Linked DNA regions of Drosophila melanogaster. The protein of the gene in region 3 interacts with the protein of the main gene of each other region in a pairwise test. Each region holds a gene or a part of one and is shown on either strand. Other genes may lie near its edges. The genes, in order: CG13022, Spx and CG8677.

The links.
Region 1: the proteins of CG8677 (region 3) and CG13022 interact in a two-hybrid assay, tested with the Drosophila melanogaster proteins (one large-scale study listed by BioGRID).
Region 2: the proteins of CG8677 (region 3) and Spx interact in a two-hybrid assay, tested with the Drosophila melanogaster proteins (one large-scale study listed by BioGRID).

Annotation. Positions count from the first base shown.
Region 1 is NT_037436.4:16,937,830-16,940,778, reverse strand, and holds CG13022 (uncharacterized protein), read left to right. Parts: upstream 1-1,826; 5' UTR 1,827-1,836; coding exon 1,837-2,433; 3' UTR 2,434-2,449; downstream 2,450-2,949. Other genes in the region: Cpr73D (cuticular protein 73D), read left to right, coding at 1-143, 196-1,541.
Region 2 is NC_004354.4:6,253,968-6,258,169, reverse strand, and holds Spx (spliceosomal protein on the X), read right to left. Parts: upstream 2,349-4,202; 5' UTR 2,260-2,348; coding exon 2,226-2,259; intron 2,152-2,225; coding exon 2,068-2,151; intron 2,010-2,067; coding exon 1,084-2,009; 3' UTR 574-1,083; downstream 1-573. Other genes in the region: Rbcn-3A (Rabconnectin-3A), read left to right, coding at 2,822-2,908.
Region 3 is NT_033779.5:21,219,378-21,224,462, forward strand, and holds the start of CG8677 (uncharacterized protein), read left to right. Parts: upstream 1-1,934; 5' UTR 1,935-2,174; coding exon 2,175-2,409; intron 2,410-3,058; coding exon 3,059-3,240; intron 3,241-3,300; coding exon 3,301-3,750; intron 3,751-3,814; coding exon 3,815-5,085. Other genes in the region: Atg18b (Autophagy-related 18b), read right to left, coding at 883-920.

The DNA.
Region 1 (2,949 bases), on a different chromosome or scaffold from region 3:
CCTGGCTCAGTATCCGGTACTGCCGCGGGGAAGTCCGGACGATCCGCTGGCCGATCCCTTCGACGATCCATCCTACAGCTTTAGTTTTCGCACTCCGGATCAGTCGCGCAGCGAGGAGAATGATTCCGGGAATAGGATAAGAGGCGAGTTTAGCGAGTATGGTACTTAAGAGTATATTAACTGATTCTATCCCAGGTCTGTACTCCTATTTGGACGACGTGGGCGAGCGGCACAGTGTTCGTTATGCAGCTGGAGCCGGAACCGGATTCGAGATCTCCAACGCTGTGCCGGACAGCCCATCTGTTGTGGCGTACTCCAGTCCTCTGTACACGTCCCATCCCAAAGCACGCGGCAAGATGTCTGTGCAAAGGGGGCCGGCTGGAAGCTATAAGCTGATCGCCTCAGGTTCGGATCACCGACGGGCAGAAAGTCGAGCACCCGATGGCCTGGTGCGAGGAACCTACTCCTTCCTGGACGACAAGGGCGTGCAGCGGACAGTGGAGTATATAGCTGGAGCAGGAATTGGCTACCGGGTGGTGCAAAATCGGATTGGTCCTGGAACCCATAACAATCCCTCTGTGGCTGATTTTCGTTTGACAGATCCAGATTTCCGACTGGCTAATGATTTTGGCAGGGGTGCTGGTGGTGGCTTAGGTCCGAAGGGAGGTGGTGGTGGATCAGGTGGGGGAAGTGTTTCGGTAGGAGCTTCGGGGCCAAGTGGTGGTGCAGGTGGAGCGGGAAGGGGCCGTACTCCAAGCAGACCCGGAGGCAAAGATTACCTAAAGCCGGCTGATGGAGCAAGAGATAGGAATCGTGGAGATGGTGATGCTGGGGCAGCTGATGAAAATCTGGGACACCATGCTGATGACCAAGGGGATGACATTGGGCTTGGCAGCAGCTCCTCTGGTTCCACCAACTTTAATGGCAAAGAAGACAGAAGAGGGTTCCCTGCGGGTAGTCCGCAACGGGGCAGTACTAGATACGATGCCGGAGGTGACAGCTCTCAGAGAGGTGGTTCAGGTAGCTCCACGAGAAACAATGTTAGTGGGTCCCGAAACAGAAACCGATTCGGCGGCGTTGGTGGAGTAAGTGTCTCCTCTGAGCGGGGAGCAGGAAGGGGAGGTGCTGCCGGTGGTGGAAGCAGTCGTCGAGGAGGTGGAGCTGGAGCCTCCAGGGAAGGCGACTCCGGCCTGGGCTACCTGCCGCCCACAGGTGGATCGGGCACCAGTGCCATGAGCGGACCCGGGGACAATTACCACCTCAACGATGACGATGTGGGCAGTTCACTGCCTCCTCTGGTCACCGCCAACCACCGAATTCTAGAGATCGACAGGGATCGGGAGTGGGTGCAGCGACACCGCGACTCCACCGTCATCAAGAACGTGGGTAAATGGTACGTGGGCCTGCCGCCTGGTCAAAGTGTGCGTGCCCATGTCCAGAACATCGACATAATACCCTTGGGCGGAAGGATCGGACTTTCGCCGTCGGAGGCACTGCGTCAGGATGAGATCGCCGAGCTGAATGCCTCAAGGGAGCACTAAGCACCCATTGGATCTGTAGATCTGTAGTTTGTAGTGCGTAGCTCTAAGTGATCAGTGTTGAGTAACCGAAACTGGGTTGACTCCACATGGAAACTAAAACAGTATTTAAAGCGGAATACATTTTTTGCCTGTATCTGTATCTCAAACTGTATCTGTATCTCTAGCGAATAGTTATTTGATATCCGTGGATCCGGGTATAAGCAGGTTAATCTGCACATTGCGGTTTCCTTGAATCCACATATAACCCCATGACTTAGCATGCTCGGAGTTTAGTTGTTTCTGAGACTTGAACATGATGTTGGTGCTTTTCATTGCTTCGCTGATAGTTTCCTGTGCTCAAGGAGCGCAAGTGTATATGCAGTTCAATGGACAAGGATACTCCTACAACACGGATGGCGATAGATTGGATAGGAGTGTCGTTAAGCCTAGTTTTGGGGCATCTTCTCTGGATTCCTTTGGTCCGCTGAACTTTGTGCATCAATCTCTGAGGACAAGACAGAATCCACTTTCCCGGATTTCCTACAATACACAGGATAACCTAGCAGTGGCAACATCTTCGCTGAGTGCGGGCTACCAATTAGCATCGACCAACCACCTGAAGCACCGGCAAAGCCAGCAAAACTTTGATTTCAGCACCGACCAGATGTCGCATGCCCAGCACACCGATGAGGCGGGAAATGTTTTGGGCAAGTACTCCTACTACGATGAGGCTGGCTACCATGAGCTGAGCTACAAGGCGGGCGCCGGCATCGGATTCGTGGTCATGGGTGGCAATTTGGCCAAGGCCACCACCGCCGCTGAACCGCACTCGGAAATCGAAATCGGAAACGGAATCCAAACAAATGCCTTGACTAGCCTGCAAGAGTTGCATAAATATCGTGGCTACACGTAAATAAAATATATTAGCCAAAACTATTGCTCGTTCTACTTGGGTGTTTTGCGTTATTTACTGGAAGTCTTTGGAGATCTGACAGTGTCACCTGTCGTGTTTGAGACCTACGTGATCGGGGATCTGAACTGTAAACATATGTCAAAGAATGAATGACTTGTAAAACAGAGTTCATTCAAAGAAAAGAGTGCAGCTTTGCTTGGTTATAGAATGCAAGCAATAGTCAAATATTATCGAGAGCTCTGGATTTCATAACTTCTACGCGGCACAAAATTATCTTTGGATCGGAAGACATTATATTAACATTTATAAATAATGGTGAAATTAAAAAAAAAATGTACGTAAAAATAGATGTCCAAAAATGTATGAATTCTTTTTGTAATTGTAAATCTTGGAATATAATATTATGCTAAATAGGACGGTAGAAAGAATATTTTTCTTCATTTTAAAAAGAAACATAACTTGAGTTCCATAAAAGCGGTCATCGCATTAATAGAAAATTTTCTTGCCTGGACATAA
Region 2 (4,202 bases), on a different chromosome or scaffold from region 3:
CAAAAAAACCAAACCAGTTCAGAATGTTTTTATGTTATTATTTTTTTTTATATATACATCTTTTTTAAGGTAAACAAAAAAGAAAGAAACAAATCGAAAACCAAAAGAAATTTAAATAAATGCGAGAAAATTGATGCGTAACGATTCGCTTGTACATCGTTATTGATTAAAACTATTACTATTACTATTACTATTACTATATGCCTCACAGTTTTTTTTTTGTTGTTGTTTGTCTTGCTTAACCAAAAAAAAAAAAAACAAAAGCAAAAGCAAAGAGACGAAGGAGAAAATAACGTTAAATATAACCATTTAAACGTAAAGCTAAAGTTAAGTTATTTTACCAAACGAAATGGAAGTTAGCACAGTGGGACTAAACCAAAATCGCTTAGGCAAGAATTCAATAGACGAAGAGTAAAAAATGAATAGTAGTCAAAACTATTGTAAATACTGTACTTGTATGTTTCCCATATTAATAAATTTATGCTAAACAAATTACAAGACCAAAAAACAAACGTGTTTCGAAAAAAAGCGGGACGGCATCATTTTGGGAATGCTAAAAAAGAATCCTAGTTTCATTTCAATAAATGGAAAATCATTCCTCAGTTTATTTTGAACTACAAGCTAGTTTCTATACATAACTTCAAAGGATTGGACATTAAATTAGAGGGAGCCCTTTAAAAATACTTAGTTAAATTACAAAAAAAAATTATCGCTTTCTTCGTATGTTCCATTCAAATTAAACTTACAGACTTGTTAATGTAAACGTTTTATGTTTATTGAAAATAGTTCCGTTTAAAAAAAAATCAAGAATCGAGAGTCAATTTATATCAAATCATTTCGTTCATTTCAAAATTCTATTCAAAGTTATTTAATTTCGTCTTGTAAGAATTCGAAGATTGTATTGCGACTACTAAATGGAAATACAATGATGATCTAAATGTCTCCCAGTGGTTTCCCGGTTGTTAAATGCATATTAGAAAGAAGAATGGAAATCTTAACATATCCCAGAGCAGGCTTCATTGATGAATCCTATTGATGTTTATTTCTCGTCTCGTCCAAATTGGTATACACTACACGCTAGACTTAGTACTGGTAGCCGTCGGGTTGATAGGGCCGTGCGTAGGGCGTGGGTGGGAAGGGCACGGGCGGCGGACGCCAGTTGGTGGGCGGTGGTCTGGGCGGAGGAGCAGGCATGCCGGGCGGTGCCCATGCATTTGGTTGCATCATGCGAGGCGGCGGCGGAATGCCCATTGCTGGCGGCAGCGGCGGCTGTCCGCCGGTCATCGGTGGCAACGGAGGCGGCGGTATCGTAGCTGGGAACGGTGCAGGCTGGGGAACGGGCGGCGGCGGTGCTAGCATGCCCATATTGTTATTCGAAACGGGCACCACCGGCGGCGGCGGCGCCATCATGGGTGGCGGCATCATCTGGCCCGGCATCTGGGCCGGGATCTGGCCCGGCATCTGGGGCATCATGGTTTGCACCGGTGCATCGGCGAACAATTGATGCGGCCGGTCTGCATGGGTCGATGGATTCTGGGCGGCCAACAGGCGCTCCGCAGCCGAACCGTGACGCTCGCCCTTGTGATCCTTCTTGAAGGCATAGGACACGGAAATGGGACGGTTGCACAGGTACTGGCCGTTCATGGCGTCCATGGCCGCATCGCTGGCCTCGAAGCTGGCAAAGTTGATGAACGCAAAGCTCTTAGACTTGCCCGTCTCTGGGTCTCGCATGATCTTCGGCGTCTGCAGTATAACGCCGAAGGCGGAGAACGTATCGTACAGCAGCTTCTCGTCCACTTCCACGTCTAGGTTGCCAATGAAGATGTTGGCGCCGACGTCCAGGTTCTTCTGATGCGCCGACGCCTTGTTCACGCGAATGGGCTTGCCGTAAAGCTTGATCATGTTCATGATCTTTATTCCATAGTCGGCGTCTTCCTCGCTGAGGAACTCGACGAATCCATAGCCCTGGTGCATTTGGGTGACACGATCCTTGGGCATGTGTACGTTCACTGCAAGCATGACGATTAGGGAGCTGCTAGGCACTATACATGTGTGTCCGGGACTTACCCACTGGTCCTGCCTGGACAAACAGCTCCCAAAGCAGCGTTTCCGACACCTTGTCGTCAAGACCGCCGGCATAGATGGTGGCATCTGTGGAAGGAACGGAAAAGGCGGGTTAAAGCGTCTCCCAAGTGGTGCAAATGTGGAGTGGAGGTCAAACCCACCTTGGTTGCGTTCAGCAATTGGACCTGCCGCCATTTCGGAGCTATTTTTATAAACAAAACCAAAAACTAATTTTCGGCGTTTTCAACATGCAAAAATGCTCGCAACACAACCCTGAATATCGAAACAGCCTATCGATACCATGAATCGATATATATTCCACGATTTCGTTTTTATTGGCAATCGAAATTGATATCGAAATCGAATCAAATCGAACGGATATTAGAAAAAATACTAAATATAGACGAAGCAGAATAATTAAATATAATTTCAATAGGTTAAAATATTCACCTCTATTTTTTGAAAATAAAATGAAATATTTTAATAATAATATTTTAATTAAATGATAAACAGTTTTTCGGTTAATTGGAGTAACCGTATTTAAATTACTCAGGCGATATTTCGCCTCCCATGCCGTGCCATCCCTAATATCGATAGTTCGATTGGCCGCGCTGGCCAAGAACCCAACTCTAATTTTTATGTAATGTCACTTTGTTGTCGTTTGTTACAAGAAGCAAGGAAAATTCGTGCTAGAAACCAAAGAACCAAGACCCCAATATCCGTGCGCTGTGATGTGATAATCAACTGTGTGTAAATTATGAATTGTCATCAGATTTTGAGCGGCGCTTGCAATGCAGGCGACCGGTGCTTCGCCATTGGCTCCGTGGAAGGAATACCATTTACAGTAAGCACAGAGCCATCCCAATCCGAATCCGGATCGAATTGGGTGAAAATCGGTGGCGGAATGTGCACCATTATCGGCCCAACCAGCCGGACACGCCCCCCAACCCCCCCACGCACACTTGGTTCAAAAGGTTGAACCGTTTCCAATTGGAAACGGGGCATCATCATCACCATCGTCGTCATTCCAACAAGAACCGATCGGAGCACGTCTTTAATGTTTTTATTTACATATTTGCGTGTGTGTGGTGTGCGTGTGTGCGGTGTGTGTGAATGTGTGTTGAATTTTATATCGTTTTTTTTTGCCACACTTGGTGGTCAATTAAAAAATCAAATGCAAATGATGAGATAGAGAACTTTTCGTGTTTGCTGGCTGGCGCTGTGCAAAAATTCGATAACAACAAAGTGTGCAGCTCGAGTGTGTGTGTGTGTATGTTGTGTGGCACAACAAATACAACACAATGTTTGTTTTCACCTGCATTTACATACCTGGCCAGCAATTAATTACATTTTTATTTTTTTAAGGTCAAGTGCTGGCAGTAAACAAGCCGCACGCACACACACACACACACATGCGCCAGTTGCAGTGAGAGTGTGTGCTTGAAAGTATATACGCATGTATATATATATAAGTGCGAGTATGTGTGTGTGTATACCCTTCGATTGGTCAGGTGGCCTTTGATGCCCTAATTTCGCAGCTTGCAGGCTGCCCACCTTCCCCTTCCCACGAACCCTTTCTCTATGGCAGCACCCCCCGCCCCGCAACCCCTTTCGCCAACCCACGTCAATGGCAAATTGGAATTATAAACGGCCATAATAAAAAAACGTGAGCACGCATTTATAATGTGCCTTATTCGATCCCTATACTATATACTACCAAATACTCTTAGCAATCTGGCCATTTTCGTGTCTAAAACCTTTAACGGTAACAGGAAAAAGTTGAAGAGCTCACTATAAACTTCGCTATGTCAACTTCGAGTTTATAAACATTACACCCATTGAGACATGTGTACTATATGTTTACTCAGAATGTTTATCCGATGTAGAGAACAAGGTCTGTGTTTTCCTGCAAAAACCCAAGGAAGCATAATTAACTACTGTGCACATTTTGCCATTCTAATGAGAGGCCCCACGGGGCGTATGTGTACATTATATATATATTCTATATTCTACTATATTCTATTCTGTAATCAGCACCGCCGTTGACACAGTCCCCCGTTCACAGACCGACCACCAACCACCCAACACCCACCCACTGCCCACCGCCTTGCGCCATATCATTTGCCATCATTTCAATT
Region 3 (5,085 bases):
AATTTGTACATTGCTGATAGACTTGAGACTTGAGTTTTTTTTTTTAAAACTACAGAGTATCGTAGGAAAACCCCCAAAAGATAATAGCCAATTGTTTGACTTGCGTTTTCGCGTACATTCACCCGTGCTTGATTTGTTACTGATTGGAAATCTCTCTTTTGCTTTGTTTGAGCTATGACAAATTTTTCAGATTATATTCTTTTCGATTCGATTTTCACCACAAATAGTCATATTGATGTTTGCGTTTCTTTCTAAGGCTTGCTCGCACTTCTTCCCTCACCCTGTTCTTGGATGACATCAACGTACCGTGCAATAGCGAAACTGGTTAATTAAGCTCGAGATTAAGGCTGCGTTGATAGCTACAGTGCGCTCCCGCCAGATTGACCCCCTTTGTTTCTTGTCATTTTATTTCATCCTTATCGCTCCGCACTTTCATTTGTTCCTTAGTCATCAGCTGTTGCGCATAAACAATTGATTGTGCGCCAATTGTGCGAGTGTTGGTGTCCCGCACAGTGGCCATCAGAATGGAAATACTGCTAAATCGGTCGCTTGTTGGCCACTGACAGTGTACCGAGTTCGGTTCCCAGCCCCCTCCCGAAACGGGAAAGGCATTCCAAAATGTTAGATGAATGCATGCTATTGTAATTGGAACTGCTTGTTTGCATGTTCTAATAAACTACACACACACACGACACGAAAAATGACGCCAATTCACGCTTACCCACAGACACACTAACGATCCCCGTCCACCTTCCCCACAGCAGCTGTTTTCGCCTTATTTACCCGTCTCATTTGTCGATTTTTGTGTCTCAATTGTTTGCCACTTTTCGCTTTGGTGACCTTCCGGGATTTAAGGATTTAAGCACAGATGTCGCTACTTACGTAAAGTCCTGGTTGAAGTTCATTTGATATGTGGTCATTGCTGCTGAAGATTTGTGCTTTGGTGATTGTATTTTTTTTATATAGTTACACTTTCACTGGTCTTTAGATGCTTTTTTTCAGCGATATTCAGTTGCAGAGTCCCGTCGTTTGAGTACACAAGATATTGATCGACGATGGCAGATGAGCAAAGCGAAATGATTTCACTTGATATTGAAAACTAAATTCGACTGTTTTGCGTCGTCTTTGTTGTTTTGCTGCGACTGTTTTTCTCGTTCTATCTATCAACAAATTCCCCCTACACACAACACACACACACATAAATCATCATCATTGGAACTGGGTTCGGGAACTGAACCAGCCGTGTTCACCAAATGCCATATATACCGTTAAATCATTTGTGTAACGGAAAATGTAAAATTGTTATTAAAAATTGAAATGGACAATATATATACATGTATCCGCATATATTTGCATTGGAAAAATCATAAAATTACCTCATATTTCACACAATTACAGTGCATTTAGTGTGTATATGTCAGTTTCATTTCTTTTTATATAAACATTAAAATAGTTTTTTCCAATAAGTATCTACAATTATCTAAGTGTTGTGTCAAATTTTCTATCAAATCGGAACAAAACAGTGGACGTGTTAAGCTTCTTATAAGGTTCTTCTGTCTTAGCAAAATTGTATTTCCCATAATGTATTTCCCTACTTCAACTTGATCTACACTAAAACTTTATACCTTTTGTTCCTAATTTATATTATAACCTATATTGTTCGTCGATTTAATAAATTTTGCATAGCCTATTTAATAGTAAAACAATTTTTAGATTTGTAACATTTAATACACATTTCATAGTCTAGCGCTAACTTAAAAATAAAACTGTCTTAACGCGAATCTGAGTAAGTTATAAATGTATTCGTAGTTTGTAAAAATCGTTTTCATGCATACGCCAAGTATACTAGAAACTAGTTCCCCAGTGCATCGACTGCCAACTCGCTTCAATTACATGGGTGCAATCTGCAGTATTGTCGAAAAGTGACTGCGCGGCCACACTGAAACTCACAACAGAAAATAAAGCATTTTCGCTTGCTTTAAAATAGGATTTTATCCCGTACAAGAGCTGTCTCGCGGCAAGAAATATGCACCCTCGAAGTCTCGCAGTGCCGTGCGACCAGAGAACTTGATCCTTGGACAAATGACTCGTGTTTGCAGTGCCCGTTTTGAGGTTTTGCCAGAGTAGTATACAACACCCGAAAATTTTCGCTGGTTCTCGGGGACGCATGAAAAATGGCGGCGTCCTCAGCTGCGGCTGCGGCGCCCACCAATCCGATCCCGCTTCCGACGGACTCCATATCGGAGGAGTGCAAGGACGACGACGCCCTCACCTCCACGCTGCACACATGCGCCAATGATCCGGACTTTGCGGTCATTTGCGCCTTCCTGCAAAAATTCGGCAAGGACCTGGGTCTTAACCTGCCCAACTTCAAGCATCTGCAGGAGTGGTTGACAAACAACAACGATGGTGAGAGGGTGGGGTGGTGGTATCAAGAGAGCGGGGTGGAAGCAGTTTTTTGCCAAATTAATTTATGTCAGGTTCAATTATCGTGGGGCAAGTGGCGGTGGAAACTACGGATGTAGTGTTTTCGAATAGGTCTGCTCCAGAGATTTAACAATGCTCCGCTCTGGAGAGCGTGCTTGGCTCGTCAGAGAGAAAGAGATTGCTCAATGGCAGAGAGAGCACTGCGATTTGTTTTCATCTCAACACAAGCGCAATATACAAAACAAATCTGGGAGAGACGTAAATATTTCCCACATTTGCTCTGGTCTTCTTATTTGAGAGATAGTAAGAGAGCTACAATTGAACACTAAAAGTTGGTTTTTTTTTTTTAATGTACACCTGCATCTGGAAATATATTAAATATTTAGGGTCACGAGTGGGAGGGAACCTGAAAATATATTTGTTTAAAAAAGTTATAATCATGCTAAGTTTCTACGTTTTGTATGTATTTGCGTGAGCAACAGCAGACACAAAAAGTGTACACTACAACAAACGCGGTTGCATTTATTTCACTTGCCCTCATAATCCACCCACAATCCATTTATATTCCGCTGTCACTTTCTTCCTTTTCGCAGAACTTTTACTAATATTTAATTATAACGAATCTTTGTAGTTCCTGAGCTAAGGGACTTGCACATAAAGCTGCTCCGTAAGACCCGTAAGACGGTTCACGAAAAGAGTTGGGAGTCCGCCCTCAGCAAATTCTGCTTCGGCTACTCGGTGCAAGATGCCTGGGAAATCGAACGTTTCGGTTATAGGAATTCCAGCTTGAAGGTTAAGCTGCGAATATTTCGGGTGAGTAACGAATTTCGTACCACTTGATAAACCGTTCTAAAGGGCGTCTTTCCCGTACAGGAACTTCTCGAAAGTCAGTTTGAACGCAATGCCAAGTTTCGGGCCCACATCCTCACCTTGAATGCCGATACTTTACGCTCTGAGCCAATTGGAAGGGACCGGTTGGGACATGCCTACTGGCTGACTCAGGATGCCCACTGTAATCTGCGGATCTACCAGGAGCATCTAGACGAGGAAATTTGGCAGGTGGTTGCCACGAACAGGGACGAGTTTGTAAATCTCATTTCAAGGCTGCGCGGAAATGAGGTGGTACTTCCTTCGAAGGACATTGGTGAGGCCGATGAGGACACCAGCAGCAGCAACAGTTGTCATCCCAAACCACCGCCCCCCGAACAGAAAGAAGAAGAGGACGATGAGGAAGTTGGAGATGAGCCCGAAAAAACTGTACCCAATCTAAAGATTAAACTCCGCTCTCCCGAGCAAGAGGATCAAAAGTCTAAAAAGGTTAAGGTGTGTATGGATTTAACCAAGGAGCTTTGCATTTTTAGATAAGATTTCATTCTCGGTCTTTCAGCCACTGCTCATTAGCCAGGCCAAACTTTCGAGTAGCGCATCGCCGGCCCCAACCAAAAAACGTTCTATCGAAGACGTAGACAGCAGCCCCACAGCCTCCCAGGAGGAACAGCAGAAGAAGCACCGTCCCACACTGCTTGATACAAAGCGAATCAAAAAGCCAAGTCGCTACGAAAGCACTAAGGATGAAATCGAAGAAGAGTCCGGAGAAGAGGATGAGGAAGAAGAGGACGAGGAGGATTCTGAATTGGATGAGGGTGAGGAAGAGGAAGATGTCGATAGTGCGGCGGCGGATATCGAGGAAGATGACGATGAGGAAGATACTGGAGAGCCTATAGAGGATCCAACGATAGTGGTGCAGGGCCAAGGATCAGGACTTGACTGTGAAGCCATCCCTTATAATTTAATTGGCAACTTTGATTATGAGGATGACTTGGAGATCGGGGAAGCCATTGCAGATCCAATGCTCCATGTGATTGGTCAAGGGTGGGGGACCGACTGTCTCGTGGGGAATGGTAAAAACGAAGCTTCCGTGGAGGAAACGTCAACGCGCACATCGGAACCAAAAGCGACGTTCTTTTTTGGCGAGCCCGGATGTCTCAAGCTAAGTCCCATGAAGCAAACATCAAAACCAGAGGCAAAACGGGGCATTTTTGACAGCTTGAGCGAGGAGAAAACAAATGGTGAAAGCGAAAAGTGTATAGTGAACACACCGCCCCGAAATGGAAGCGAACTCACAAAAACTCTGGGAGATAGTGAAGAAACAGCATCTGCGAGTGCAGCTACATTAGAAGAGACTAACATATGCCAAGAAGCTAACGTAAATAAAATCTCAGATGATCAAATAAAAAAAAAGGAATCCGTACCAGTGGCTAAAAGGAATATACAGGATAGTACAATAAGCGTGATCGAAAAGAATGAGGAAATCTCTAAAGGTCGTACCGAAAGTGAGGCAATTGAAGAAGGAGTGAGGAATAGGACAGAAGTTTCAGTCTTACAAAATAATTCAAATGAAAGTGATAACTCCTCTATTCAGACTCAGGATCAGCATAAAGTTCCAGCTGATCTGAACAATACAAAGAAACCAGTAACAGAAAAATGCGTCCTGGAAAGCGGTACAGTTGAGGATAAACTGGTAATAAATCATCAGCAAATTTCGACAAATGCCTTGGACACTGCATGTGATGAGAAACTTTCGTGTGAAACAGAAAGCCCTGTACCTAACCAACATGATTCCAAAATGAAATCAGAACAGGAAACGGCAACGAGCGC